Tribolium castaneum: one gene and its partners. Each later gene encodes a partner of the first gene's protein in a complex. Links are inferred from orthologs where the notes say so. Each region holds a gene or a part of one and is shown in the gene's direction. Other genes may lie near its edges.

Region 1 (7,733 bases):
TTTTTTCCACCACTTTTGGCGGAGTTTGCACTTGAACGTCTTGTGTGGAACAACCGCAGCATTTATTTTCCGTTGATTTTCCGTTTTCCTTAATGGCTTCAACGTTTTTCTTCAATTTGGCGTGGAGTTCGTCCTTGTTTTTGGGGCCGAGGTCGAAACTTAACGAATTTTGCTTATTGGAAAAACTGACTTTTCGTTCGCCAGACTCTCGTTCGTCTTCTTCTTGTGATGTTAGGGCGGTGACGCCGCCAGGAACTTTTTCTATTAACTGACTGACTTTTTTCTGTAACTCGCAATTGCTCTTCTTGTACGCTCGCAAAAGACTGTCTTTTATCTCAACGAAAGGTTCGTCGTTATTCACTGAAGCACTGTCTTGCACTTTGGCTAGTTCTTCTTTCAGACGGACGATTTCTTGTTGTAGTGTCGTTATTTGCTTATTGTAGCTCGTTTTGATGCTTTCTATAGCGTCCGAGTCCACTTGAGTGGCGCCGTTATTGGTCGATATTCGGTCAACAAGAGATTCCAAAAGTTCGTAATGCGCCCGCATAAATTTTTCAACATTCTTCATTTTTTGCATGAAGCTACAGCGCGAACTGTAGCCAGGACACCGATCTTTACACAGAACATACTCATCACATCTGTAAATACGATAAAAATAAAAACAATAATAACTTATGTAACGTTTACTGTTCTTTCCATTTCGATAAATCGCCCTTCAGTTCCTTGAGCTCTTTTTCCTTCTGTTTGATCGGGCTTGCCCGCAACTTTTTGACCTGTTCAGACGCCAGGCAAAACTTGTACCGAAAATCTTCAGTCTCCTTCAAATTTTGTTTATACGACTCTTCCAATTTTTTTACATGCTGTTTGAGCATCTTAATAATTACGTCTTTGTTGGCGATGGTTTTTTCCGCTTCTTTTAGTTTCAAATCCCGCTTGTCGCTTGTCGTAACATTTTCGTACTTTTCAAGACACTTACTGGACTCGCTATTGGTGTCTGTCATGTTCGGAAGCGAAAAATGTGTGCATATTGTTCGGTAAATACGAATAAATTTACAAGTCGTTCTTTAATTTTTTCCACGATTGGTCATTACTGTCATTTTGGACGTTTCCGCTATCAAGTGTCTAAATTCGCATCAAAATGAAGAAGAAAAGTAAAAAAGTGTTCAGGCCTTGTAAAATTCCCAGATATTTGATTGGGTCGGTTAGTCCCCAAGTCATTAAAACAGACTTGGCAGAATATAACGCACACAGATATAAGGTAAAAGCAGAAGCTTCAGGCTTGGTTTACTCCCGTTAGGTTTTTTCAGCGAAACCGAAAACTGATACCAAACCCCTCCCCATGAATCCGTTCAATTATATCAACCTTCGAAAGTTACGGGCAGACGCTGAGCGGTTACAAATGATTGATAAGGAGAATAAGCAGCTCCTTAAGTCCATAAATACGATAAATAGGACCATCGTAAGATTTTGATTTTAATTGTCTTGAAGTGAATTTTTAACGTAGGGAAAAATTGATTCGTATAATCCTGAAGCCTATGCGTCTAAATCGAAATGGCACGCTCACGTTATGAGGATGAAGAGAATTGACCGCAAAAATAAAGCAATATACGAGAAACTGATGGCTGCAGTAAGCCCAAAAAATTAGTTTCTTTATTTAACAGTTAACAGACTTCCAGTTACGATTGTGAGTCGTTACGTAAATTCTGGACCAGTATTATTGAAAAATTGAAACTAACTTCCAAATTCCCTTTGGTCATCCTTCAGAAAGTCTCAGTCGATTCAGTTATTGCAAAACAGCCGTCAATTAGTTGCGGACTTGAGAAATTATCAGAACGGCCCCGGTATAATTAAAAAAATCAAACAATGACTTAATTAATTGACCCCGAAGGTGTTTTTTGGAATTTCAAGTGCTAAATGGCCCAGTTCTGGGCCGCGTAGAGATCGAGCTTTATCACGACCACGTCCCTGTCACAGTCCAGAATTTCTTATCAATTTGCTGCGGTGAGAACAAACAGAACCTTTCGTATAAAAACTGCCCAATCAATCGAATAGTTCCGGGCCGTTTTTTGGAAACTGGGGACATAACTAAAGGGACAGGACGTGGTGGGGTGTCAATCTATGGTAAATACTTTGCAGAGGAAGGCCACATGCTTAAGCACACGAAACCTGGTACAAAACCCGAATTTAGTTTACGAAAAATTCCTGAGTGTTGTTTCAGGAGTTTTGTCCATGGTGCGTGTCCGCAAACACGATAACAACTCGCGCTTTTGTATCACCTTCACGAAAATGGAACAGTTGGATATGCAGAACGTTGTGTTCGGTTATATTGTGCGAGGGGCTGAGAATTTGTTTAAAATTGAGGGGTATGGCCGCAGTATCGGCAAGCCTTTAGCCCCTGTAATCATCTCGGACTGTGGGAAATTGAATCGGGCGCTTGAGTGTTAGTGGTTTTCGGGGCGTCATGTTGTCGTTTGGAATTAAAAATGGCAGTTTCCTTCCATCAAATTGTGTGAAGTTTGCAGTTTCGGGTTTATATCAGGAAATAAAGTCGTAATTAAACACGTATTTACTTTATTATTTATTATTCCGTACCACATTAATACAGCAAAATGTTGTATCTGGAAGATTACTTGGAAAGTAAGTAAATCAGTTACTTTGGCGTGGCATTGACGGAAACGCCAATTGTCAATGTGGCGCTCAATTCGAATTTTTAGTGATCGAGCACCTACCTCAGGAATTACGGGACAGGTTTACAGAAATGCGAGAGTTAGACTTAACAGTGCAAAGTAAGAGTTTGATAGTTAGAGTTGATTAAATAAATTATTAATTGTAGATAACATGGATGAGTTAGAAAAGCGGGTGAAAATTTTTTTCAATGATTGTAAGCGCTATCCCGGTGAATTACCGCCTGCCATTCAAGTCGAGTTCGAAGCTGTGAAAAAAGAGTACAAAAAGACGCTCGAGGACGCAGATGAGAAGGTAGTTGTGGGGTTGTGTGACCACTTAATGATAATTTGAATCAAAGGTGCACCTCGCTAATCAAATGTTTGAACTAGTTGATAAATACCTGCGCCGGCTTGACACAGAACTACATAAATTTAAATGCGAACTAGAGGCAGACAATAAGGGCATAACTGAAGTTCTAGAAAAGCGGTCACTGGAGTTAGACACTCCAGTTAATTCAACAAATTCATCCCAACAACAAAAAGAAAATAGATACGAAAGGTGGTTTTCATTTATGGGAACGTAATCTTTGTTAGTGCTAATGTAGTTCTAGCAGCTTTAGATATCGACAAAGAAGCGAAAAAAGACGGGATAGTAGTAACTCTTTGCAGACCTCATTTGCCGAAAAAAGACAAGCTGTTGCCCCCATACCTCTCGTCGAGACCCGGCATAGTTCAATAGGCCAATCAACGCCCCCAGCTCAGTCTAACGTTACTTATAATTTGGGGCACATAGGCGCGGGGCCTGCCATTGCGGCTGCGGCCTCACAGGCCATCGCTGCCACTCAACAGGTAAAAAATCACTAATTTTATACCATTTTTCGCCTAGAAAATTGTCAAAAATAATCCATTCAATCAGTGGTGGCTGTTAGGACACGAGCCGGGGCGAGTGTCGTATTAATAGCCATTGAGTGCGACCTACATACACTATTTTTTCTACGACCTTGATATTTTATACTATACTGTTTGATCAGATGCAACAAGGCAGGAGGACAGCAAGTCTTAAGGCCTCGTATGAGGCGATAAATACAGGAAGCCATGGTCATGAGTTTAGTATCGGGCGCGAGTTGGCTGGGGCGGCGCAAACGGCCATTCAAGCCATCCAACAGGACCATGCCAATAACAAGAAGAAGCAAAAGTAACGATTTTTCCCATTTTTTTTGGTTAAATTTAATTTTGAATTATAGGAAATGGTCAGGTGGTAGTGCTAGCGCACCTTCGGCGTCAACAACAGTTCAACAAATATTAAATGCTCCGCTTGCTAGTGCCGCCCCTGAATCACCGTCAATAGATGTGTCTTCACAAAGCGCGGAAGTAACAGATGGGGAGTGGACTTATGACCCCAACGAGCCTAGATATTGTCTCTGTAATCAGGTTTCTTACGGAGATATGGTCGCTTGTGATAATGAAGACGTAGGTTCTGTGAAATGTTTCTGGGTGTGTTTTATTATTGTTGTTTTAGTGTCCAACTGAATGGTTTCATTACCCATGTGTTGGTATTACTGCACCGCCAAAAGGCAAGTGGTATTGTCCACAGTGTTTAGCGTCAATGAAACGTAGAGGGAGCCGAAAAAATTGAATGTGTTGATAGAGAGTTTAAAAAGGCTTGTAACAATTTCTCGGAGGCGGGAGAAAAGAATCAGAAATGAGTGAGCTTGTGCAGGAGAAAATGTTAGGGAAATTCGAGATTATTTAATCTGTTTTTTCCACAGAAACGGAATAGTTGTAAAAATAAAAGTATTCAACTGTCATTGTGTTTTTATTGTGATTAATGATTTCCTATTTAATATTAAGATCTTGTGTAATTATGAAAATGTAATATTTATGTATGCTCAACTTTTTACTCTTAAATAGTATTGTAAACCGATTTATTACGCTTATAAATTATAAAACTTGAACAAGAACAGAGTTTTATTTGACACATTTCCTACCCTATCCTTTTTAAGACGTTTAATTAACTTTACTGGACATTGATAACTGAATAAACTAATCACACAGATAATAAGTACATATAAGCAAGGATCAAAATCTGAATTCCAGTCTAATGTAAAACAAAATAAAGCAACAAGAGCGTAAACACATTAGATATTATAATTTTGATACATGAAAATTAATGGAATCGGTAGTTTAACCCACTTGAAAAGGGAACCAGCTCAATATTCGAATTTTACGGTAAATAATTTAAATATTACATTGCGAAATATGTATGTACATTTCCATGCACAGCGACCATTTGCACCGAGTTTTACACACATTACCTAATATTTCCTTGTAAAAATAATAATTAATTAAAAACGCACCTAAAATCTAATGAAGGTAACGAGTAGTAACGAAAATATCAGCCTGAATGCAAGCGAAATTGCATGCCGTGAAACGGTCGGATTTGTAAAAACCCTCCACCTTCACTCACGCGTACCATTTTTCCGAGTCACCGAAAGCCATGCAATTAATCAGCAAAGTCATAGGGTCAATAAATCGTGAGTTGTGAAACGAAGGTCAGAAATTTCATTTTCGAATTCGATAAAAAATTCAAATCATGCTCGTTGTTGCAAGGAAAAAATTACGACATTCCAATGCGAGCTAGTTTTGCCGTTGCAATGTCAGGGTTTTCACATTGCATTGATGGACTACGATAACAAATCAACAATGGGGCAAAAGTAAAGAACTTTGTACATCGGTCAGATTTGATGCAATTAGTGCATCGATATTAAATTTTGCAATACGGAAGTATGAACGGCTGAAATGCGCATATTGTCTGCAAATGCAGCTCCGAAGAATGGAGAAAAATGCGTCCGTGCGAAATAATACCGACGGATTTTCACAGCGAGCATCAGCGAGATAAAATTGTTTATTGATGGGAAATGCGAATGAATGCTCGAAAGCCCAGTTTTATTAAATGTAGCAACAATTATTAAGAAATTTTCCGTCTTGCTTCATCGGAAAAATCTAAGCAAAAATTGGAAATTGGCCGATCATTCTGTTGTATAAGCGGACGCATATCTTCACGATTTTAATACATGATTTAGAAAATGCTAACGTGAAACAGGTATCACTATTTGTGTTACATAATAAGGATTTAGATCCATGTTTATTGGAAACGCACCAAACTAGTCATTACCGCCTACGTGTGTATAAAGCTTCCGTTGCCGTCTCACAAGAAAGTGCATCAAGTAAAATTCTGAAATAATTTATGGGAACTCTTACTCATTAGTTACCTTAAAGGAATTTCGCTAAAGTTCGAGTCATAATCTACAGGAAATTCAAATTCTTCGAAGAAAAACGTCTTTACTGTAATGAGAACTTTCCCTTACTTCTCCAAAACGGAAGCAATTTGCATCCGCTTTAGAAAGAAAATAAATTAGTCATTTGTTTCCCCGTGATTGAAAATATTTTCTTATCAGTTGACATCGCATCAATACTTCAAGCAAAGGTTAATAGTAAATTGGGTTACTTCTCCATGTATTGCCCACGCCCTATAATGCAAACTTTCTCAAACCAATGACACCGCATTTTTAATTATAGAATACGGCTTTAAATTTTGCACCAATTTGTAAATTAGCTGCCGCATATTCGGTTTGTAATTACTCAAACTAATAGAGATGTTCAATTACAGAATCCGACCGTATTTTGCTAAATAAACAATCACGTGAAAGCACCGCTAAACGAGCGGAAACAGCCGAGCCGAAATATGCAAATATATGAAAAAAATGTAATTGCAATTAGTAAAATAGCACGCGAATAGTTTTTATCAATTTTCAGCTGCACTGAGCGCCGTGCATATTGCACCAATATTATGAAACTCCAATTAAAAAACACTATTGCTGCTTGTCTACAAAAAGATCATTTTTCCCTATTTATCCCTGCCCGTGCCGGTGATCCCCCCATTATGCTTTTCGAGTGGCACCAAGTCAAATCGTGCTTTGAGCCCGCTGAACATGGGTGTTTCTGATTTTTTATTTGTGTGTTTATTGAGTGCATTACCAGGTATGTTGGATTTTTTCCAGTTTGGTTGAGATTTGTTCTTCCGGCTTCCGCGAGACATTTCAGGCGGATTAGTGATTGCACTTTAGTTTTGCATTTTTTACGAAACGTGAATGTCGGAATTTTAGGCCCTCCCTCTGTTTCAATTAACGATGCCATCGTCCAGCTCTACCCCATCAATAAACACAAATGTCACAAAATTGATCCGATTAGGGACATCGCGTTCCAGCTCTATACCGTGTAAGTAGCAAAAAATTTGACACGGTGTTGGATTTTGCAAAAATAACCGGAATTGTTTAGTTTAATTATTGAACTTCAGCAAGCCCCGCTCAAGGTCAGGTTTTAATAAAGCTTACGCTAGATATTAAATAATCCAGTGAACGAAAGCTCTTTCATTGCCATTTCTTCAATAAAAATACACTTGTGTGTTTACAATTTAGTAGTTGGCGGTTAATAATTACGTCGTTACGTTCAGTATTGTGCAAACTGTATCTTTCTTGGCATTTTAAATTCGCATTTTAATCGATTGATTAATCATCAAAAATTTTATTTCCTAATGACAATTATAGTGAATGCATGCCAGGTGACGACTTTCTATTCACTTACTAAACTAGAAAATTTATTTTCGTAATCCCTGGCCGATCAATTTGAGATAATAACTAGCCGTTTTCAATTGTGGGCATTGTTTTGCTCCATAAATACGTAAATTTTCTAGCCTCAAGAACTTTCGTGTGTTTGCTGCCACAACTTTACCTTCGAACTGTAATTTTCTTGCAAAAAACGAAAAAACAAGTATGTAGGTAACAAGATTGCATAAAACGATTTATTAAAATTGGTGTATGGGAAAGAAAAAATGAAATCGTTAGCTTTCTAGCACCTAGTTTTGAAATTGAATGCCAATTATTTTTTATTTGTTCAGTACAATCATCCCTCAAATGAACTGATTTAAAGTGAACGAATTGTTATATTTTCACGGTACATTTGGTTAATTTAAATGTTTTAAGTTCAATTATTAAATTAGAATTGCTA
Region 2 (7,829 bases), on another chromosome or scaffold:
TAACTTTTTTTTGTAGAGACCCGATTTGCAGAATCGTTAAGCCACAACAGCCAGTCATAAAACAATGTGATGTTTTTTATTAAAATATTTACAATAAACAAGTTTTCTAATAACATATTTATTTTTAACTTATCACAGAAACCTTATCACACAAAACGTTGGGATTTCGATGTTCACAAATTGGACACTCGTATTTCGAATCCGCGGTCTGATTACCCTAAAAAGAATTTAATAAGACCTGGCGATTTTTAGAAAAACTGCGGGTGCTGTACAATTTTTATTAATTGCCGTATTTTAAAAATAAAAAATTAAGTATCTAAATGGCTTTTAATGTGGTATAAACTGATGTTTTTATTTTATTTTTCCAAATGTCATGATATATCTTGGACTACATTTAACTTTCTTATTTTAAATTGAAACCAATATTTTTTTTTTGTAATTTGGAAGGCACATTAAATTTTTTTGGTACAAACAAGTGCAATGTGTTCTACTTTTATCAAAAAAATGGAAAAATTGTCAAAGTTGGAAAAGAATATAAAAGTTAATAAAATCTAGTTGTTTGGTATCAAATAAGAAATGTCAATGTTATTATTTCAAAAAGCAGCAAATAGAAGAAAATATTGACAATATTTTAAATTAAAATAATTCATTTTAAAGAAAAAGTACTTGGAACAAGATTATTTTTAACGTCAATATCTTTTATGACACCATGCAACTAGATTTTTTTTTCAACTAAGTATTGTTTTTAAACAATTTTTAGTAAAAGTAAAATATAACACATTCTTAAAAGACTAGCTAATTTATTATATTCATAACCATACCAATTTAAAATAAAAAGTTGAATATAACCCAACAAATTCTATGACAGAAAAATTTAAAAGCATCTGCTTATACTAGATTAAAAGCGATTTAGTTTAGTTTTTTAACTTTTAAAATCGACACATAAATAAAAATTCTACAGCGCCTGCCGTTTTTGAACAATCACCCTGTATAAACTTCATTCTTTTTTAATACTTGTCAAAGCGTTGTCATGTTGGTATGAGCCACCTTCACCTACCAGTTTTTTTTATATAAAATTTGTTTACACCTGTTAAGCTTTTATATCCCATATTAGTTCCTAGTAGAATTTTGCAACAACGCAATTGCATTTTTTTTGAGTAAAATGGAACACAAATTGAGTTTCTGGTGGGTTTTCTTGGCTCAAAATTTGTCGTTAGGATTCAGTTTAACACAGATTTTTTTATACAGAAACTCTCAATTTAACTCAATTTCACTCCAAAAAATTCAAATCGCTGTTGCAATTCTATTATGAACTGAAATGGGATATAGCTAATATAATTTCTAGTTTCAATGAGAGATTTAATAATTAATAACACTATTCGACATTTTTATAAAAAAAAATCGTTTAAAATGCAAAATGCGACGTTCGCATTTCTATAGTTTTGAAACAGCTAATATGCAAATCTGAAAATTTTTACAAATCTTTAGTTTTTTTGTACTTAGTGTAAATGGTCGGTTGGGTTATGCAGACCATAAAATTTTAAGTCGTTAATCTACAAAATAACTCGGTGCATTGTACGTGTTGTAATTAATGTAAAACAACTTGAAATTTGGACAGATTTTTAAATTGAATTTGACAGTTAAAAAATTACGCCAACCTTAATTCAAAATATTAATGTTTTCGCTAATGCCAACCCGACGGCTCTTTGACATTTGAATTTGACTACAAAAAAATATGGACTATACCTTTAAACACACGTAACAAAATACATGGGCACATCCCATATGATGAGGCAAAATAGGATTTTCCCCACAATGTGCACACTTGGAATGCATGGTCATGGTACGCGAATTGAGGACAACATAAGTAGGTTTTTTGTGGAATGGATTAAAGTGCCTCATTGTTCTCTTAATTTTGTGGTAATTAATTAGTGGGATTATATGAATAAGAACATCCTGGAAAAGTACTTGATGCACCAACAAGCGATTAATCATTGCACCAATTTTTCCGTTCATTGTTCTTGATTCGTTAAAAAAAGTAAAATATTCCAAAATTGCACAGTTGATTGCCTAATCTCAGACAAATAATACAGGATGTTTCACATAATTTTACGCGACCTGCGCCTCTAAAATGCCACCTACAACACATATTCCGATATACGAACTCGATTACAAATTTTGAAAAACTGGATTGTTTTTTCTTGTTTGTTCACTCCTTCAAAAAATTACGTTTTTAGTCAATTAGTGATTAAGATAAACAGATTACTGTCACGGGTTTCCACAAAATAAATAATCAAATGTGAATTTTTTGTATCTAGTGTTTTGTGACTCTTGAATATTTGGGTGCGTATGTATACATTTGGCGCAGGCCTCGTAAAGTTATGTGAGACACCCTGTATAATTATAATTACTATGGTTATCTAAACAATCAACGGAAAAATAAATTAAATTGAAAGAATTCTTACGATAAATCCATTCCAAAGTAATTCTCTAGATAAATATTTCGCTTCAAAATGCCTTGGAGCAGTTTTGGTTGAGTACTCTTGGTTCAAACCCAAACACCTTTCTATCAATAACGGTTTAACCCCACGTCGTAGAAATATGGACATATTGATAAAATTCAATAAAACTAAAACCATGTGTATCTTAAACATAAACGTGTTAACCTTATGCGAGGGCTTCCAGAACTCGAGACGATGTTTAACGTAATCAAAACAGTTCCCAAACAAGTAAAGAATTTTCTTGAAATTCGACATGTTGCTGTACTTTATTGATAAAAGTTGTTGCCCAAAAGTGCTCTCATTGCGACAGACTGAATTTTTCAGAAGCGCTAAACGCACAATTAGGCCCAACTCAGGTTCAATGGGGGCTATATAACCAGGCTAAAATTACACTTTCAGGCAACCAAACCTTAACAAGGGGGCACTTACGGGTAAGAAACGGCTAGTCTCGTGAAGAATTCGCATAAGGGCTTTGTAGATTTCATTATCAAGGAAAATTGCGTTCATTTGGGTGACTCTCAGTAACTTATCGTTGGACATTTTGCACAAGTTTTAGACAAATTGAGCGTTTGGAATGTTGATTTATTGCAACTATTTGTATTTTTGGCACTATTTGTTGTTTTTTAATTATTTCATAATGATCATAACCTCAGAATTTGTGGAACTTTTCGGGTTGTTATGTTGGCAGCGACGTCACGGGTGACGTATTTGACATTTGGCGAAACGTCAAGTTGTGAGGTGTTTTGTTGGAAATAAACAATTTTTAGTGTAATTACTTGAGGCACTTAGCATAAAACAACGACTTTACAAGTGTAACGTTTCCTTTTATCGTTTTGTGATAATAAGAACAATATGTCGGCCAAAAACAATGTTTCGGTGGATGCCCGCCAAGAGTTAGCAGAACTTGTTAAAAGAAAAGCAGAAATTGCGGTAAGAGTTACTTTATAAATGTTGAAGCTTTGTATTAAGAAATGTTTTTCTGTTTGGCTTAAATTCGCGGTCTTTAACCAATTATAGGAGACGTTAGCAAATCTCGAGCGCCAAATTTACGCGTTTGAAGGTTCCTATTTAGAAGACACTCAGTTGTATGGAAATATAATTCGAGGCTGGGATCGGTATTTATCGAGTAACAAAACAACAAACTCTAAGGCTGATAAAAGAAATAGGAAATTTAAAGAAGCCGAACGTCTGTTTTCTAAATCGTCCATAACCTCAATGGCTGTGAGTTGGGACGAGTTTTGTGTATTTTTTTTGTATTTTAATGAACGTTTTACAGGCGGTTAGTGGAATTGTTGACCAAAATCAGGAGAAAAGTAAGAATAGTTATGAAATAAAAAATCATTCATACGTCTAGTTTTTTTTGTATTCGTTTTGTAGCTTTTTTGTAGTGTTTGTGGTAGTTTTGCTGTGAACTTTCTTCTAGATAGATGTTTTCTCTAGTTTGGTCACTGCCTCTTATATGCACTGGAAAAATGAGAGACATTCCAATAGCTCTGTAAATGTTTTACTCTAAAATTATTCAAATTTTGCAAGCAATGAAACAAAATATTACAATAATTTAGAGTTTATTTTCATTGCTTACAACTCCCACAGGGAGTAAATTGGGAGGCATATTGAACATTTTACATTTAGTTTTACTTATTTATTTGTTTTGTTGTTAGTTGTGTCATAAACCCTACAAAAACAATTCACCAACAGTAAAACTTCTATAATCCGAACGAATTCTATTGCAGCAGGTTCTTCGGATTATCGAATTAACTTTTTTCTCTTACTTTAATTGAATAAAAAAAAATAAGTATTTTTATTTAAAAAATTTCATAGGGACATATACCGAGTAGAACAAACAAATATTTTTTTTACTTATTTATTTTATTGTTATTATTTATCATAAACCTCTAATAAATTCGGACTGATATTTTTTGAATTAACTATTCTCTTATTATTAAAACGAATAAAAAGAAACATTTTTTTTAACTTAGAGTGATCCTGTTAAGAGAATTGTAATTTTATATAAAAACTGTTGTTTGCATTGCAACACTTCGTTCAACAGAAAGTTAATTGACAGGTATTTTATTATTACTAATATTATTATTATCACAAAAGATCATAGAGGAGTCCCTGTCGGGACTATTTTGCTTAAAATTAAAATAAAAATAGTGGTGGTAAATACGGTATTTCAATTCCACCCAAAAAGGTTGTCAGTTCTTGATTTAAATCGCAAGATGTTAGGTGCATTTTTTATGACCATTTTATGTAAAACGAACACTAGGACAATCAAATGTTTATATTTTTATTTATATTTCTATTGTTTAGTTTTTCATAAACCATGCCAAAATAATATACAGTAAAATTTTTATAATGCGCACTAATTACTATTGCAAGAGGTTTTTAGAATTACCAAATTAACTTTTTCCTCTTAATTAAAATGATTAAATAAGCAAAAGTAAGTATTTGTATTAAAAGAAAAACAAATATACCTAGTGAGCCTGTTAAAAGCATGTTTCAATTTTATATGTATAACAGGCAGTTACGTTTAGAGACATTTTGAACATATTATTTAAAATTTAAATTTGATTAAAAAAATCAAGTTTCTATTTTTTAATTTTAGTTGTTTTAATGTTATTGTTTGTTTTATCATAAACTATATAAAAATACACTAAAACCTATTATAATTCGAAATACTTACTATTGCAAGAGGTTCTCCAATCGGATGATCGAATTACATTTTTTGTCTTCATTAAAATGAAATAAACAAAATACTCGTAAGTATTTTTATTAAAAAAACAATCAGAGAATTACATATTTTAATCACTATACAAAAATGTTGTAAACGTTGTTCATCTGGAAGTAAATTGAAAGACATTTTGAACATTTTGAGGAACAACGAATAAAAATATTTTTTACTTCTTTAATTGTATATTTTATCGTTAATTATGTCTGCAAGAACATTACACAGTAAAACCATTTTAGTCAGAATTACTATTACAAGGGGTTTTTCTATGTAACTACAGTAGCGAGGGGTGCTTCTTTTAGTGAGTTTTTCTCAATATTTCAGAAACCATTACAGATAATATTACAATATTTGATACAGTTAATAATCTTTATATTCCCAATCGAATTCGAGAATCTAATGTAATAAGAGCTGTCAGGTTGGCATTATCATAAATAGTATTTTTTTTTAATTAAGGTTGGTGTAATTTTTTACCTAGAAAATTCAATTTCCAAATTTTTCAAGTTGTCTCCAATTTACAAGACGTACAACAACACATTTAGTTATTTTAGACCACCTTTAGAGTAACGAATTAACGATTAACACTAACGTCCAATTTTCAAAAATGTCAAATCTGGTGTTCAAACTGTCAAATACAGAATACAGCCAGTTTCTAAAGTGGTTGAACATGAACTTTTAGGGTGTTACAGTCTTTATCAGAATTTTGACACTGACAGTTGATTATACAAAAAAATTAACTATAGAAATTTTGAGCAGGGGCGTTCCAAACTGGAGGGAAGTAGGGTAAAAAATATCCTAACTATGTGGATTTAGTTTTGTAACACATGGGCTTTAAATAAATTCTGTACTAGTTCAGGATTAGTTCTAAAAATCGTTTTTGTTTGAGTTTCAGAATTTGCAAAATAATATTGCATTGAAATTGAAATTGAGGTGTATACGTACAGTGTCATTCTGCTAAAAGTATTTTCTTCCTGTGTCTCAAAACTCAATAATTACACAGAGAATTTTTCGGCAGTTCTTTATACATAATTTAAATTAATTAATATTAAGTCACTGACGAAAAAATTCTAATGATATTCTTTCTGAAGGGAACCATTAATAATAAAAAAATTGTTTCTAGCCACCAAAAAATAAAATTATTGTGTTGTTCATATTTTCCAACATTTTTAATTGTAATCAAACTGTAATTAAGATTGAACTTGTGATTTACTTTGCCAAGATTAACTTAATCGATGATTATTTTTTTTATCTATTTTTGCACAAAAATTTTTTCATTGGCTTAATTAAACTTTATTTTAAAAATTTATAGGAAAATTCCGAAAAAAAAATGCGTAGAAAGATTTAATTGATAGCAAACGCTCATCTTTATGATTTTAGCTTTAAAAATATACTTTTTTAGACTAACCCTGTAGAAACATCGAAAATTATGAATTTAATATAAAGTTGAAAAAAGAGTAAATTTCTAATGCCCCAGTGTTTTTTATATTAAAAAATAATTAAAAATGAAAATTGAGTTTTAAGTTAAGGGTAAATAGGTCATAAATACCTAATTTTTAGTAGCGTTTGACGCCTGTCATATTTGAATTTAGTGTACGTTATTCTAATTAAGTCAGAAAAAATTCCCATGCTGTAACTTGATGACTATAAATGGAAAATATTTACATAATAACAGTGGGGCAAAAATGCGGAAGTAATCCGTAAATTAATTATGGCCCCAGCAATTTAAAAACCATTGATGTCAACATAATTTTTCTAATGAACGCTTTTTAGAAATTAATTGTGTCGGAAAATTTGCTTGTTTACCGTGGAATCTCTCTCATTTTTAAAGTTACTTTTACTTTTTCATATTTTTTGTTTTTTTAATAATTGTATCCTGCCTCCTATTCACTTAATTAGCAACTAAAATTTTGTGATAGTCTATAAACGTTGTTTTTGGCGATGGAATGTAGACATTTTGTAATAACAGTCGCCAGAACAATCGGTCATTGTAACGCGTTTTGTAGTAATTAGTTTGGAAATACCTTAACAGAAAAATTTACAAGGCCACTGATCCGATCTACTTACATTGCACAAAATCGCCGCTTTTATTCATCGTTCATTTTTTCAGCCGAATGATTTGGCAATTAAATTGCTAAAACCGTCTAGTTTTTCTGTACAGGTATTACGTTCAAGCAGTTACTTTTTCAAGTAATTTTAGTTTTATTTTTTACTCGTAGTGGAGCCGCACAGCGATACTGAATCTCAAACTAATGGAGATTCTAGTGATACTAACTTAGGTCCTAATTCGAACCATATAGATTCTGGGATGAAAAATGCAGGAAAACACTCGACGAATTCCTTGAATGGTGTACAGAACGGGCTTGACCATCGAAATAGCCCCAATAGAGACGTTTCGGCCAAACAGAAAAGTTTCAGTGCAAGTGCTAAAAAAACTAATAATAAGAAAGCTAGACACAGATGACTTTTTGTGCTGTTTTCTCAACCTATTTGTGTGTGTTTACAGTTTTAAGGTTTTTCAATTGTGAGTTTGGAATCTAAGTACCTGCATATTGAAATTGTACACTTTTTACCGATGTAATTGTTTGGAACAATAAATA
Region 3 (7,923 bases), on another chromosome or scaffold:
TATTTGTTTTGATTCAAAAGAACCGTTGTGGTTGGTTTTGTTTTTTATATATTTCTTCTGAAATAAACCTTCAGCAAAAGGTGTTTAGTGACTTTTTCAAAAAAAGATAGGGTAATAATGTAATGAAAGACTTAATAATTTTCAAATGCAAGAGCATCATTAAAAAACTTTAAAATATGTGACCATAATAAAACTTTATAAAAACATTGTGATACTTAAAACAAACAAATAAATGCAACGGAATAATGAAAAATAAAAATTAAGTAAATGCTATTAATAATATAAATTTTATTGACTTTCTATTTAGTTTTTAATATTTTGCGATTATTTTCCATTGTCCTAGTTTTCTGTATCTTCCATATCTGCACAAAAATCGCTTGAACAAAAGAGAATTTAAATTTTGCATTTCATCTTATTTTTGTCAAATGTGACATCGAGGTATTGTTTGTACATGTGTTTTACATAAAATAAAATAAACCGCGTTACGATATTCCTAACGTTATTTGTTTCAATTTGGCTATTTTATGTGAGGTTTTTTGCTATGTGTGTAAAGTTACACTTTACTAAACGATTTTAAACTTAGTAAAGTTTTCGATTACTGAATTAAATACGAATTGTTTTTAGTATATTTCCTACTATCAAGTAATATGTTGGAAATGCTTAAGGAGGAAACTGGTAAACCAAATGTTCGAATGAAAAAAATGGAAAAAATTAAATTGTAATAAAGAAATCATCTTATTTATTATTTTTCTTAAAAATTGAACTTCGGTTTTTCTTATTCGATAATTCATTTGAACAATATTTCTCCTTTAATAATTATGAGCATACTTATGTTTTTATCTCGGTTTTTAGAGTTTTACTCGATCAACAAATTTCTAAATTGTAAATTGTTGTGACAATGTAATATTTTATTCAGTCTTCTACTTTTTTAACATTTGTGCTAATATTTTTTAAAATTTTGACACGTCTATAAAGCATTTTTTGACTCAATAATCATTATTACTTTTTTATTTATTTGCCATACCTACATTTAAGTAATTTAGTTTAGTTTTGGCTTATATTTTTCTTTATAAAATCTGAAACGGGGCCCTGCAGCTTTGGAGCAATTCGACACTGGACTTCATCTCATGTTTATCTTATTAAGTGTTTAAAGAAATAACCAAAACTTTTTGTGAAATTTAAATTGTGGCGAGAATTATTAAAATTAAGTGATGTTAGCAAGTTTTTTTGACGTGGAAACCACACGAGTCAATTTAAAACATAGTACGTTCGTGAAAAAGTGTGAGTATTCAGTTTGTATGAATTTTCCAGCTGCTAAGCGCCATCCGCCGAACCAACAACGTTGATTCTGATAAAATGCGTTTGCCGAAAGACGTGGTCGTTCGGCACACAGAAAGTCACCTGTTTGCTAAAAGTAAAATGCATGAAGTATCCTGCAGACTAGTATATTAGAACAAATAGCGAGATAGAACAAAGTGCAAGTTAGGCCTAAGATAAAAACTCTTACTAATCTATGAGTTTGCAGGACCATTTATATCTTAAAATCGATTGAATATATGCCACATGAACTTAACGAAAACGACTTTACAACTCAAGTCCAGTGCGATGTTTTAACGGAAAGCGCTGAAAGAGTTACTTAATGTGCTCAAATACTCTATTTATTTTTTAATGACAAATAAAAGCACGTTGTGTAATCTTTCAGATGTTTCTTCTTTTAATTGACTAAAAATAGTTTTTTTTATTATTTCAAAGACTGATCATGTTGTATAACCGTTTTAAATGCAAAAACGAGCCGTTTTTGTAAATTTGGTATTGGTAATTGGCGATAAATGTATTGTTTTTAAAGACACTTTCAATTCTAGAAATTGACCAAATCTAGTCATATCGTGTTTCTAAAAAAACAAACATTTTTCAAATTTCATTGTTATACGTTTTAGAAAACATGCAACATGAGTCTGTAAAATTATTTATTTATTTGCGCGACTAGAGGTGTTCGTGTGGATAATTCGACTTTGTATAATATAATTAAAAATGATGTAATGAAGGAGACTCTACACTGTTAGCTGTGATCTACAATATGGATGTCTTATCATTAAACAAAGGTCTATTGATTAATTTATAAATACTCACGATTACCTTTTGGTCAAATTGATTTGGTGTAAATTTAATCAGCTATTGTGTGCTTGCAAAAAGTTAAACTTGAACAAAAATGTATGGTACAAGAATTCAATTAACTTTCCATCCCAGTTTTTATGTAAAAATAAAAATCAAAAATATCATCCACGATTGTTTTGTTACCATTCTAGGTAGATTTGTCGCGTTATATGTATATTTTATGCCACATGAAACTATTTCGTTTGTAAATTGTATAATGACGTTTGTTTTTAATATTGTACAGTGATTTTTTATTAAGTAGTTGACTGAACTATTAAATAAAGCATATGTGTTAATTTAGTTATGTTGCATCAGTGAATTGACTAGCTTAGATACGATTAATTTATTTTTAGTTAAGTGAGTTTTTAGTGATAAAAGAATGGAATTAGCAGGGAGGATGATCTCATCTTGTCTGAATAGCATAAAATAGCAATAGAAAAGTGTACATTGACATGCTTTTATTTTCATCCGTTCACGATGCAACATTCATAGAGTACCTATTTATAAGTAGAATGTAAAAGAATAATGAATATCAATTATATCATATAATTTATGTTAAAATAGGTTTCACAAATTCTTGCCATGATGAATCCTAGCCTAGACTGAAATTATAAATATTGCTTTGTTACGTAATGAGAGTAGAGTATATGAAGTGTTTTAGTTGTAAAGGATGTAGTTACACACACTTTAGGGGTTAAAACTGCAATTCTGTAACGAAGTCTGTTATATTTTTACCGAAAGTGCTCATGCTGTTATCAAATTAGGTGACGTAACTTTGGGAAATGCTTTTGACGATGAGAGCGATTTTAACAAAATCATTTCTTATTCACAAAATTACGATTTGTTGAAAATTTCCTTCACAGTCATATTCACCTTATAAGTAGGGATTTTTTTCAGAATCATGTAAATAAATGTAGAAAAGTGCCTATTTTAAATTGCGCATCGCTACCCTCTTGGTCAACTATTAGAGTAATCTCAAATTATTTAATGTTTTAACTGTTGTTATAATTTGGTTTATAATTGAATAAAGCTGCATTTTTACAGTTTGCCCGCATTTCCTTCAACACACAAAAACATTTCAAACAAATTTATTCAACTACTATGTTACAAAGTAAACTATCATAGCGTGAAACACAGTAAGAGGACCGCAAATCCCAGACGCTCATACTGATTCATGATTATTGCAGCAACGCCAAAACGAAAAGCCGCTTTCATAACTCTTGCATTCCAAAACATTATTATCAGACGCAGCCAAGTTGAGGAAGGTCTTGTCACACTTGTCTCAAACGCTGGTGCATTCACCGGCTTGTCGTTTTTTCCACCACTTTTATGAAACACTCCATATTTGTCGATGTAATAACTGATTCGCCCTTCGGGGGCCATTCTGAATACTGTTTCCACCTTTTTTTTTTTTTTCAAAGAGTATCCTTACATTTGATTGTTATGTATACACTCACAACTTCTTTTTTTACTTCACTTTGGGACACTGGGTGGAGCTACCACCAGAAACAGCTTCCAAAGCATTCGAAAAAAACATTTTTTATTGCATTCCATTCGCAAGAAAGTGAGGTTAAAAATTTGACAACTTGCCACTAAAGTAGCTACCGCGCAAGCTACCGAAATACTTAATAACAGAATATGCCATAAAATTCGACAAATACAAAAAGGTGGCCACAATCTATATGTATTTGATAACATTAAACCAGCTACACCCAAAATACACTAATTAATTAAAAAACAGTCATTAAATTAATACTTTTCGATCATAAAAGCCCTCGTCAAAAATCACGGTCTGTACGTAATATCTAATAATGTCTGCGTATGAAATTTTCAAGATTATTAATTTTTATGAATAATAAGATCTTACGAAATTATTTAGACAAGTGTGCTTGAAACATTACATAATCTTACACTGATTGTGGTTGACTTTCTTTAAAAATCAGGCAAAACTTCTGCATAGTTTGTCCAGGTTTGACACTTTGACAGTTGACAAATATAAACAACGTTCAAGCTTGTTATAACGATAATTCTTGTGTGCGAATTTCTACTTCAAGAATGTTTATTCAGTGATACTATTAGTCACTTTCCTGGCAAGGTTCTTGTATTTGATTTTTGGACGTTCGGGCCAACATAACCTCAAAATGAGTTCAATTGAAGAACGTTTACAAATAAAGCGTGAACCGCTGGATAAATGGTCAATCCGTGAACAGTTGGCTCTAGCAGTGGCTCGTAACATGGACCAGAATTTAACAAGTGTGAGCCGAGCTTTAAAACCCTTTGGTGAACCCAACAGACCCCCTGATTGGTTCCACCAGAAGAACTGTGCAGCCCAGTATGGGGCTCTTTTAGCGAATGTTGAAACACCTAAGAGGAAGAAAAGAACGTCTGGGGGCGAAGTCACTATCGAAACCCCCGCCGAAGTCATTCTACGCAAACTTTTGGCCGAGAGACAAGCTGAGCTCAAGAGACTACTAGCGGAAGAAAAAGCAGAATATCAGAAATTGCAGAGAGATAAAGCTCTGCTTCAGTCAGGTATTCACAATTAAATTAAAGTTGTTTGAAGTTACAGGGGCTATATTAGAGCCTCTCAAACTTAAGACTGTTGCGGAAATTCGGTTAAGTATTTTTTGATAATTAATTGTTTTATTTAAAGGTAACGTAAGTGAAGAACAACTGGATATTTGGTGTAAGGAAATAGATGAAGAGGAACACAGGAAGGAACAAGAAGCCCTGGCACACGAACAGTGGCTAAAGGAGAGGGAGTTACGAAAACAGGAAATAGAAAGAGCGTGGAGACCAGTTAAGCCATCCCCGGTGATTGGTCAAAAACGTAAAAATTCCGAAGCTATGGACACAATCCCAGAGATGGAAAATACAACAGAAGAACAGAAAATCCTAGTGCAGGAGCCCCCTAAACCGGCCCTATCGCCACTTCTGACAAGTCTTCTGAAATCACCATCACAAGTTCCAAACGTTACAACTTCCTCAATATTGCATTCAGCGATTACCAACCAACGGCCAACCAACACAACTACTAGCCCCATGATTGCCAGTCTTTTAAGCTCCTCAACTGGAGAAACAGTTTCTCCAGGATTGCAACTTTTGGTTAGTACAGCTATAGGACAAGAGCCAACCGGAGAAGAAACCCAACAACAGAATGTCAATACTAACGATATCCTCGATGATGCCAATCTACAAATTTTGAAAATTGATGACTTGGCGAGCAGTATCTTGATCCAGAATGGCCCACTTCCAGAAATAAAGAATGACGTTGATGTTATCATCTCCGATTTGATTGAGAACGCGCAGGATATAGTTGCAGATCCGGAACAGCATCTACAACTGGATGGAAACGGTGATCTTAATCTAAATTTGGAACTGGAAGATTTCGAAGAGAGTGAAACTGATATGAAGGACGAAACCAAAGAAACAGAAAAACGGACGGAAACTACAACACCGGCAATAGATCCGTTTGAGTTCCAAGAAGATCCGGAAGTTTTTGAACCCGCTAAACCTGCAACAGCCGTGAAAACAGACGCTTCTAAAACTATGGTAGCACAGGACAGCGACGATCGGTCACAAACTACTGACGAAGCCCCAAATTCAGACAATAAACACTTAACTTCAAATGGCGAAGAATCTCGGGATGAACTGGTAGAAGTAAAAAACGAACCAACTGATGATTCCGATAAGAAAGATAAAAGCACAACTCCTGGATCCGTCGAAATTGTAGAAGTTGTAGTTATGGATGATGAGGATACTGACAAGGAAGTCAATAAAACTGAAGATCCAGCCCATTCCGTTAAAGCGGAACCAAAGAAAGAAACAGCAGGGGAAAGTACAGAAGTTGCGGAAATAAAATCAGAAACAGACGCCAAAGTTTCAGAAAATGAAAAATCTAGTGTAGAGATTGAGAAGAAAGACGAAAGGAAACTGGACGAGTCAACCACATTGACTTCCGACTATAACGAGGAATTGTACGACGATATCAATATGGAAGTGAAAGTGGACAAGACCGGGAAAGCAAAGCGCGATTATTCCAGGACGAAGAAGAAGGACGATAAAGAATTTGATGTTCTCTTGGCCATTGAAAAGGCGCAAAGAGACGAAAGTGAGTTGGTTGAAGAGAGTTTCTCTGACCGGGATTACAGCGAACTGGACCGTAAAGACAGCAAATCGCGGATTAAGAGCGAGAATGAAAGATCTAACAGTCCCTGGACGGAGGAGGAAGATGTGTCTACAATACGGACAAGGAGGCGACTTTCAACTCCTGCGACTCCGATTGATTCAGTTCCAGGATCACCAGTTTCCAGTATATATTTTTACGATGATGATCGGGAGTATCGCAATTGGAAGAAGTCTATAATGCTTGTGTATAGTAGATTGGCTGCAAATAAATACGCGTCACTGTTTTCTAAACCGATCACCGATGACCAAGCTCCAGGGTATCACAGTGTGGTGTATAGACCCATGGATTTGTTGACGATTAGAAAGAATATAGAGAATGGGGCTATAAGAACAACGCAGGAGTTTCAAAGAGACGTCCTTCTTATGCTTAATAATGCAATTATGTATAATAAAACAAATGATACGGTTTATAATATGGCGAGACAAATGCAACAAGAGTCGATGCAACAAATACAGATTTTGTTGCAAGCGCAATCGCAGGATTTGCCTGTTAGGAGGGAAACTAGGACTAGTGAGCCAGGGTGTAAGAGGAAGAGGGGTAATGAGGAGAATTCCAGGAGTAAGAAAAGGAAGGATGATTAGCATTACGTTTTGCGGTATTCGGATAAGCTGTTTGATTTTAGTGATTTTTTCTAGTATTAGTTTTATTCATATTGAAATAAATATGAACAATTTTATGCTCGTATTGTTAGAATTTTCGAATACAAATACTGATGTACAGTTCTTTGTAGCTCGTGATCAAATACATTAATATCCGTGTTTAATAAATGTAAGCATATCTACTTAGGATTTCTTATGTAAGCATCGTTGTGTAAATATTTTTATATTATGTAATATAAAATACCTATAACTTGTCGATTTCTGTTACATCATTGAAGACATGTGTAATAAATAAAATTTATTTTGATGTACAAATGATGTTAAAAACAGTATTTCAAAATTAAATTTGTATCAAGATTTCTGAATAAATGTTTTTTGGTAAAGCCTGTTTTAATTACCCTTAACATTACCAAAAATTTCGAAGTTTTAATTAATATAAAATATATGATAAGATAAGCCCTGCCAGGTGCTTGCATACGTATGAAAAAAATCATATCTGTGTTATAGGTCATCTCAATTATCCCTTTTTTTTTGAAAAACGACTCATACCAAAGCTATGAATTTTGTGCGTTTTTTTTAAGTTTCGCTAATCAGGACTTCCGAATTACCGGAAAGTCTAAATCAAGCACAATCAGCTTTGAAAAATCTGTGAAGCAAGTTTCTTCAGCATGGTTTCTTATACTAATTACTTTTATCTTTAACCATATTACCACGAAAGACTAAAAAAGGCTCTGTTTATTAATGAAAGATTTTTTTTTAATTCCGACTGCTTTGCTTGGAACAGCGCGACCTCTTCATTTGCAAAAAGTAAAAAATATTTTTTATAGACCGAAACGTTTATTATGACTTCAAAAATCTCAATTATAAAATTTAATGTGATTGTTAATTTTTTGTTCATACCAAGTACTGCAATTTTAATTTAATAAATACAATTAGGACGCACTAAAGACACTTTTTCTAATTGGAGCACTTTGCATATTT
Region 4 (7,355 bases), about 7.9 Mb from region 1:
ATAAACAAGTTTTGCGGCAATTAGCTCCAATTTTTTCACTAAAATTTGAACTTAGCAAAGCATTAAGGAAGGTCGCTTAAGAAAAAACTACTTAGATTATTTATTGACTTTTAATCATTCACACAAATTATTGAATGAGTCCAACAATTCAAAGTCATTGGTTTCTCACTTTTTTTAATGGCCGACCTTAAATGGACCAATCATATCCAAAAATCTACTTCATCAATGAAACAAAAAAGCGTAAGTGATTGGTATTCTCCGCAATTTTAATGGCCGACCTCAAACAGCCCAATCAAAATGCTTACAAATTTTACAACAATTACTACGTGCCTTTCGTTAATTCACTAATGATATGTCTGTCTTTGTTGCATCTGACATCTTCATTCATCATCATCATCAATCATCATCTTTTCTTAGAATTCTACCCCTTTATGTAATAAAATGAATGTTGGACGAGCTGCTAGATGAAATTAAAACACCATAACTGGGACAATGACGGGAAATAAATATGGAAAAATAAATTGAAACTTGAAAAGATTCAATTGATGAATTTTCGACATGGCTAGGCGCATGCGCGCGCACTTTTTAAATTGTCATTTGACATTTTAAGAAAATCTAACAAAAAAAGACGAAAAGTCGGTGAAAACTGTCTCAAGTTATTCATCAGTGCGAAAGATCATGGACTAGGTAAATGTTTTAAAAACGGCGATGTTTTTTTGCAGTATTGTATCAGTGACTAAGTACACCACATGAATTAGTTAATGATCAAAAATGCAACTAATAAAAGCTGGGAAAGAAAGATAGACAAAACAAAATACCTACACAAGAAAGAGTTTCTTAGCCTTAGGTTAATACGTTTTCTTTGTCATTTATCACACTTATTTCTACTTCAATAAAACACACATTTAGTAAACACCTTTTATTGTTATCAACAAGAAAAAAGTAAACGAGTGACAAAATGGCGAAACAATAAAATTACCTAATAGTTCACACCAAAAAACGAGATTTTCTTTATCACAATCTACAAGAGAGGAATAATAATAATTCCAACTTGCGCGTCAACACAGTACTCTATTAGAGACTATTACAAACCCAGTGAAACTAAATATCACAAACTCAAAAACAAGACTTTGTTATTTCTCAATTATCACCTTGCTTTTGTGCGTTGTCTAATACAGGTACAGCTGTCACCCCCTACACAAATTTCGAAAATTAACAAACCTATCAATGATTTAAAATCCATTGGCTAACGCGCGACAGTTTGGACAAGTTTTGTTCATATCAAGCCAGGTTTTGACACACCTGAAGTGAAACAAATGTTTGCACGGCAGAGAAATAGCAGAAGAAGGGGATTCCCGTGGCAGAGAGACGGCAGAACTTTGAACAGACTCCATGCAAATTGAACAGGTGTCAATTTTCGCCCCCTTCCTCTTGCGGGTGCTTAAAACATCTATTTGAGCACGAAAGTACAAAAATAAGGGTGGTAATACCTGGAGTCGTCACTTGTTGGATATTGGAGTTCAGGAGGGTTGTAAATGTTGTAAGTCTGGGGGGTTTCGTAAAAATACGCTTCTCTGTTTTTGTAAAAATGGTAAGCGAGGACGCCAACACCCACGATGGCCATGGCAAAGAAGGAAAATCCTTGGAAAACCATCCTGGCACTAAAATTCCCAACAAACTTACAAACCCAATTTTGACTTATTTAATTACGGTCAAAGTGTCTTTAGGGTGCAGGCTAGTTGTTTGATGTCTGCTTGCTTCACAACCACTTACGAATATCTTACATATTGAGTGTAAAGCTGATAAACAGGGTTTTGTTATTGTCAGAAATAACTGTCAACAATATTACATAACCTAACAACTTTCTTTCTCTGAAATCGGAATATTCGCGGTTACAGTAATTTTTCACTTTATTTTTACAAAACTTATTGGCTGGGATTAGTAATACACAACAAAAAATGGTTCAAAAAACTTTATTTTTGACCTGTACATTTTCCTTTCATTCAAATTACAAGAAAAAATGAAAAACTATATTCTACAAGAAACAATGAGACAAATAAATTAATATTCTAGTCATTCTACAATTCTACATACAGTTTAGGAAACAATAAATGTTAAAATTCGGTTAACATCCTGAAAGGCACAAAATTGTACATATTGCTCATAATAATTGTCATGATTTCAGTTGTTTTAATTAATCAAAGGTTATTTAAAAAAATAGGAAAAAAGCATGAGTGTAGCTGTAATGCTGTTCCTAATGCTAATAAACCTAGGATATGTTGAGATTTGTTAGCTGAGAAAAATTACTGTATCTTAGTTTATGCACATTTGCGACAAACTGGACAACTTCTGTTTTCTTTGAACCATCTTGTGATACACTGATCATGAAATTTATGTTTGCATGGTAAAATAATGCCACCATCACCTTCAGGCAATGGTTCACAACATATCACACATTCCGGAACCGAGTTTCTTCTTTTTTTTCTGTAAAAAGGTGTTTTTGTACGTTGCAGTTACATAATAAGTTACTCACTTGTTCTTTCCTGTATCTGCTGTATCTGGTGTTCTTTCCTGTACCCTCGGTGTGTACACATATGTATACTTATTGTCGCTCTGGTGACAAGAAGCTGTGTTGTTTCTAGCAGTGTAGACTTCATATATGGCCAACCCAATTGCAAAAACCATCGCAGTCATAAGAACTATGCCTTGAACTCCCATCTTTGTTTTCTCTTTTTGTAACGGAAATGTGGCTGGCTATTGTAACAATTACCTACCTTTGCAACAGCAACGTCAGCAGCAGCTGAAGACGACTTATTGATAATTCTGTAATTCCCCTCGATTTATCAGGACCACCAACAAAAAGACGAGAAATAACTCATTTTCACCCTTTTGGTGGGGTTATTGCGGAGGAAAAAATGAGATCAATTCTAAAAATATTCCCACACGCACGTATTTATTCCATTCATTCATTGTAAAGTGCCAAAATCTTTTTTTACCAAAATACGAAAGGACTCGAACGCTTGTTGCAGTGACATATGAAACTTAGCTATTGGTACTTACTGATAATTCTATGGTATCTAGCAAAATACTAACCTTAAAATTTCGCAGTTTGACAGATGGTGTTTAGTGCTTGTGTTTTTTATTTAATTAGGAAAAATATTAAATAAAAACCATTTACTTTGTAATAAAACTTATCATTGGTTTGTTGTCCCTGTCCCAGGCGAGAAATTCGTTACAATGGCAAAAAGAGAAAAACGGGCAAATGCCGGTAACCGTATGGCAAAATTGTTAGATGAAGAAGAAGAATGTCAAGACGAATTCTACAAAACCAATTATGGTGGTTTTGAAGAAACCGAATCCGATAGGGAATACGAGTACTCACTTCTGATTCATTTTGTTCCGTTTTGTTATGGTTTAATTGCAGGGAGGAGGAAGAAGGCGAAGATGTGGTAGATTCCGACTTTAGTATTGACGAAAATGACGAACCTATTTCAGACAATGAGGAGGAGGGTCAGAAGAAGAAACGAAGATTAGTTACAAAGGCTTACAAGGTAATGCACGATTATGACGTTCGATTTTTTGTTAATTTTTATCTGAAACATTGTAGGAACCAGTGCCTGCACCCAGTAAACAAAAAGCAAAACCAAAACCCACAAAACCTGTCCCTAAAGTCAGAACAACCCAACATGAATCCACAGAATACGGTTTGAAAATAACGAGTTAGTTAATAATATTTGGCAACAAACGTGTTACAGAAAGAAAGTCAATCAGGAAGTCCACAGCTGCAAAATCAGCCGCAACAGCACAACGCATCAAAGTACGAAATCTCGAACAAAAGAAAAAAATCAAGAAACCGAAAGAAGAAGAATGGGTGCCAACACAGGAAGAGTTACTCGAAGAAGCAAAAACGACCGAATTGGAGAACTTGAAGTCACTTGAAAAGTACCAAAAGATGGAAAGTGAGAAGAAAACGAAACGAACTGTGAAAAAAGTCATCAATGGCCCTGTTATCCAATACAGATCAACACGAATGCCAATCATTGAGGAAATCAATCAAGATAAAGACATCAAGAACGAATCAGAAAACGTGTGCGAACGCACGTTTATCTCAGTGCTTAATGACCCTAACGATGCCACATTTAACAGCATTTTTGAAAAAAAGACAGCGCGTCCGCTTCCACGACGTCTCAGATGCATTGTCACAGGGTAAAAATAGCTATTTATATGTGCAGGGGCAATTCTTGCTCCCGTCACGTGTACAGGGTGAGTCATTGATATGACATACACCGTCAGTGGTATCGTATTCTAAAATTCTTTGTCCGATAATACAGTCTTCCATTTTTACAGTGCAGTCTAAACATAATTTTTTTAAATGTCAGGGGTTATTTTTTTATTTTTCTACAATTTAATCTGCAGGCATATTACAGTGACTCACCCTGTATATATTTTTTTCGCCTAATTTGGAGGTGCAATGTGCACAGTATGTCTTTCCTGTCTAGGGAGGAAAAGACATAGTTTGCACTTTTGAATTAGGGAGCAAAATATTTTCTAAAAAGCGACGCATTTTTTTATTTTTATTTATTTTGTGTTTTCAGTCACCTTGCAAAGTACGTTGACCCTAAAACGTGTCTGCCTTACCACAGCAGCATGTGTTTGAAGATAATTCGTTCTGCTTATTACCAACAACTGGAAGCTCATGGAGATAAGAGTAATCCAGTAGTTGCAAACTGGCTTAAGTGGTACGTTAAGAATAAGGATAAGTTAAGGAGGGAGTTGGCGTTGAAAGTAAAAACACATCAGGTGGATCACAGTTGATTTATTTTGCTCTATTTAATAAATTTTTATAATACAGTTTCTATTTCTTTCAAATAAAACTGTTTTGGTCTGAGATCAACACGATTAAATGTTAGTGAATGAGTTTGCAACAAATTTGGACGAATGAAAAGCGTCGAAAACGTTTAGTTAATATATTTATTAAACTGGTGCACAAATAATACATTACCATAATCTCAGTAGCCAATAATTTGGCTGAAAATTGGCTTATGAAGTACAACAAGAATTAATAACATTAAATATTATTAATATGACACATAAATTACATCTAGTTTAACATATCATATAAAATTAATAGGTATTTGATAAGCTACCTCATTAATTAATGCCATTATTACTTTGTTAAAATAATTTTAGCACTTGAGTATGAACAGTGTATATCAAAAGAGTAGTTCGATTAACAATGCGAATTTGTTAATAGATTACTGTTTTAATATACAATTCGTTAAAACTCTGAGAAAACGAAATTAATCTCTAATCTAAGTACAACATAATGTAAATATTTATAATAGTTAAAAAATCTTTAAAGTACTCTCAGCAAAACAATTTCATGTCCGAAAACAATTTTCAATAAAACATTCTCTACAAATTGCACATGTCTGATAGTAACACTATTGCACGAAAAAAGGTAAAGATTCTCGTTACAACAAAATGAGTATGATTCTAGATTTGATATTTATTGCTTACTTTGGACGGAAAAAAATGAGATAATCCGCACGTATTGCTTAAATAAATTTGAGAAACTAAAAAATTAACAATAAATAATATAAAACACCGCGCTGATACTTTTTAAAAATTAAAAGTAAATAGAGCCCTCCTTCAACGTTTGAAACTAATTTCCAAAAGTATAAAAATGAATCGATTATTATTGTCCTACATAATATCAATTTGTTCGACCTTTGCATAAATAACATCTACATCTTTAAGTAACTTAAACATACCTACCTTACATTGCAATTTTTTCACAAACTGATCAAATCGAAAACAGGAAAATTCAGTAAGTACAGTTCAACTAAGTTTAGATTCAATTAAAAGTGCCACACCTAACAGAATTTTCCTAATTCTCTATCTATTTTACATGTGCACGATTAACATTATTGGCACGCAAAAAGTTTGTACTTTACAGAAAAATTGTAACAAGTATTAGTAAAACTGGATATTGACAATATCCACAATCTCTCAGGTATGTGTAAAAAAGAGCAAGCAAAACTCTACGGACAGATCTGGTTTGAGATTCTTTCGAAAACAACTGATTGAGATTCCGTGTAATTTTGCTCGGGACGTAACAAACACACTTACAATGTTATTGCTTCCAAAGATTACGTTTCCTTTCTTTAGTACACAATGCACGATGACGGAGTGAAAAAAATGTTAGTGATGTAATGTTAGACGTACCGCTACCTCAGATGGTCCGGTGTTTCCGTTAGTGGAGTGGCGCAGGTGACAGGTTAGCACTCCAAGCCTACAGGCCGGGCAACCAGGTTAACAAGAAAAGAAAAGAAAACAGTTTGTTAGTATTGTATCATAGCTATACCACGGGCACAATTCAATACAATTTATCCCAGTGTCACTCATGCTTGGTTCAGTGTGATTAGAGGCTTCACCTCATGCGTTAAGGCCTGTGACACTGGCATAACATTGAGCAATTTATACATACACATAAAATACTGATTTAACCTAGCAGCAAGTGTTCGATAGACTATATTAAAGTGCTCGAAGAGATTCGGTGCTAGAAGAATTTCTCTGTGTATGTACCGCAATTAATTAGAAGGCATTGTTGTTATTAAACTGTACAAAAGGTTAATTTGCAAATAACATTTTAATATAGTGCTATGAACACAGTCACACGTTATCATCAACCATACATTAGTTTACTTGGCCATGTGGAATTAGAAGTAGTTATGAAATCTTGTGGAGAAGTGTTAATGCATTATTAGAAGTTAATAAATAATAAAACTTTGATAATTCCACTGCTCGAAGGGTAATAAAAAAACTGATCGATTTTTATATAAATATATTTTGTTCCACATTGGCGCAAGTCAACAACATAAACATACAAAAAATATAATATGCTATTTATAAACGTATATGTATAAAACTACTTAAACATATTCATGGAGCGCGAAGCGACAGCTCCGCGTACTAACAATAAGACATACGTAAAAATGAAACTGAAACTGATTTTGACACCGGGAAGAAGGTGGTTTGAAATTTTCGACTAGTTATTCACTGAGGTACAAGTGGTAACCCAAAAGGCCTCCTTCCCCAAATTTGCAACTGAACGTATGTAGTGTCACAACCCGCATGAAATTCACTCAATACTGACGATATCATCGAATAAAATAAAAACAATAAGCTGACGAGGTGAAATACTACAATAGATACATCATAACTCCACACTGAGACACACATGACTGGCAAACATCTGAAAGAAATAGAAAACAAAACGTAACTAACCTTTTAGGTTTATGACAGAGCACCAGCTCTTTGGTAAGGATGCTCCCTTATTTGCCCCAAATGCC

Evidence for each region.
Region 2: Ing3 (region 1) and Eaf6 share a complex: the UniProt entries of both Homo sapiens proteins name them as parts of the nuA4 histone acetyltransferase complex. The link is inferred for Tribolium castaneum from reciprocal best matches to the Homo sapiens genes ING3 and MEAF6.
Region 3: Ing3 (region 1) and Brd8 share a complex: the UniProt entries of both Homo sapiens proteins name them as parts of the SWR1-like complex. The link is inferred for Tribolium castaneum from reciprocal best matches to the Homo sapiens genes ING3 and BRD8.
Region 4: Ing3 (region 1) and YL-1 share a complex: the UniProt entries of both Homo sapiens proteins name them as parts of the nuA4 histone acetyltransferase complex. The link is inferred for Tribolium castaneum from reciprocal best matches to the Homo sapiens genes ING3 and VPS72.

What each region holds. Positions count from the first base shown.
Region 1 is NC_087397.1:1,046,785-1,054,517, forward strand, and holds Ing3 (inhibitor of growth protein 3), read left to right. Parts: upstream 1-2,495; 5' UTR 2,496-2,609; coding exon 2,610-2,637; intron 2,638-2,714; coding exon 2,715-2,786; intron 2,787-2,833; coding exon 2,834-2,979; intron 2,980-3,025; coding exon 3,026-3,225; intron 3,226-3,271; coding exon 3,272-3,515; intron 3,516-3,697; coding exon 3,698-3,861; intron 3,862-3,910; coding exon 3,911-4,136; intron 4,137-4,185; coding exon 4,186-4,302; 3' UTR 4,303-4,627; downstream 4,628-7,733. Other genes in the region: CAP-Gly domain-containing linker protein 1-like, read right to left, coding at 1-638, 688-1,001; uncharacterized protein LOC103313454, read left to right, coding at 1,139-1,258, 1,298-1,459, 1,505-1,627, 1,669-1,841, 1,889-2,169, 2,219-2,445; inactive pancreatic lipase-related protein 1, read left to right, coding at 6,659-6,707, 6,833-6,944. UniProt on the Homo sapiens protein: Component of the NuA4 histone acetyltransferase (HAT) complex which is involved in transcriptional activation of select genes principally by acetylation of nucleosomal histones H4 and H2A.
Region 2 is NC_087398.1:15,237,135-15,244,963, forward strand, and holds the start of Eaf6 (chromatin modification-related protein MEAF6), read left to right. Parts: upstream 1-3,212; 5' UTR 3,213-3,353; coding exon 3,354-3,431; intron 3,432-3,518; coding exon 3,519-3,722; intron 3,723-3,777; coding exon 3,778-3,814; intron 3,815-7,448; coding exon 7,449-7,693; 3' UTR 7,694-7,829. Other genes in the region: peroxisome biogenesis factor 2, read right to left, coding at 1,747-1,956, 2,466-2,882, 2,931-3,041; osteopetrosis-associated transmembrane protein 1, read left to right, coding at 17-60.
Region 3 is NC_087396.1:10,837,841-10,845,763, forward strand, and holds Brd8 (bromodomain-containing protein 8), read left to right. Parts: upstream 1-3,894; 5' UTR 3,895-4,295; coding exon 4,296-4,686; intron 4,687-4,807; coding exon 4,808-6,924; 3' UTR 6,925-7,325; downstream 7,326-7,923. UniProt on the Homo sapiens protein: May act as a coactivator during transcriptional activation by hormone-activated nuclear receptors (NR). Isoform 2 stimulates transcriptional activation by AR/DHTR, ESR1/NR3A1, RXRA/NR2B1 and THRB/ERBA2.
Region 4 is NC_087397.1:8,920,551-8,927,905, forward strand, and holds YL-1 (vacuolar protein sorting-associated protein 72 homolog), read left to right. Parts: upstream 1-3,091; 5' UTR 3,092-3,237; coding exon 3,238-3,374; intron 3,375-3,424; coding exon 3,425-3,551; intron 3,552-3,607; coding exon 3,608-3,704; intron 3,705-3,755; coding exon 3,756-4,206; intron 4,207-4,595; coding exon 4,596-4,815; 3' UTR 4,816-4,851; downstream 4,852-7,355. Other genes in the region: how (held out wings), read right to left, coding at 7,300-7,355. UniProt on the Homo sapiens protein: Deposition-and-exchange histone chaperone specific for H2AZ1, specifically chaperones H2AZ1 and deposits it into nucleosomes.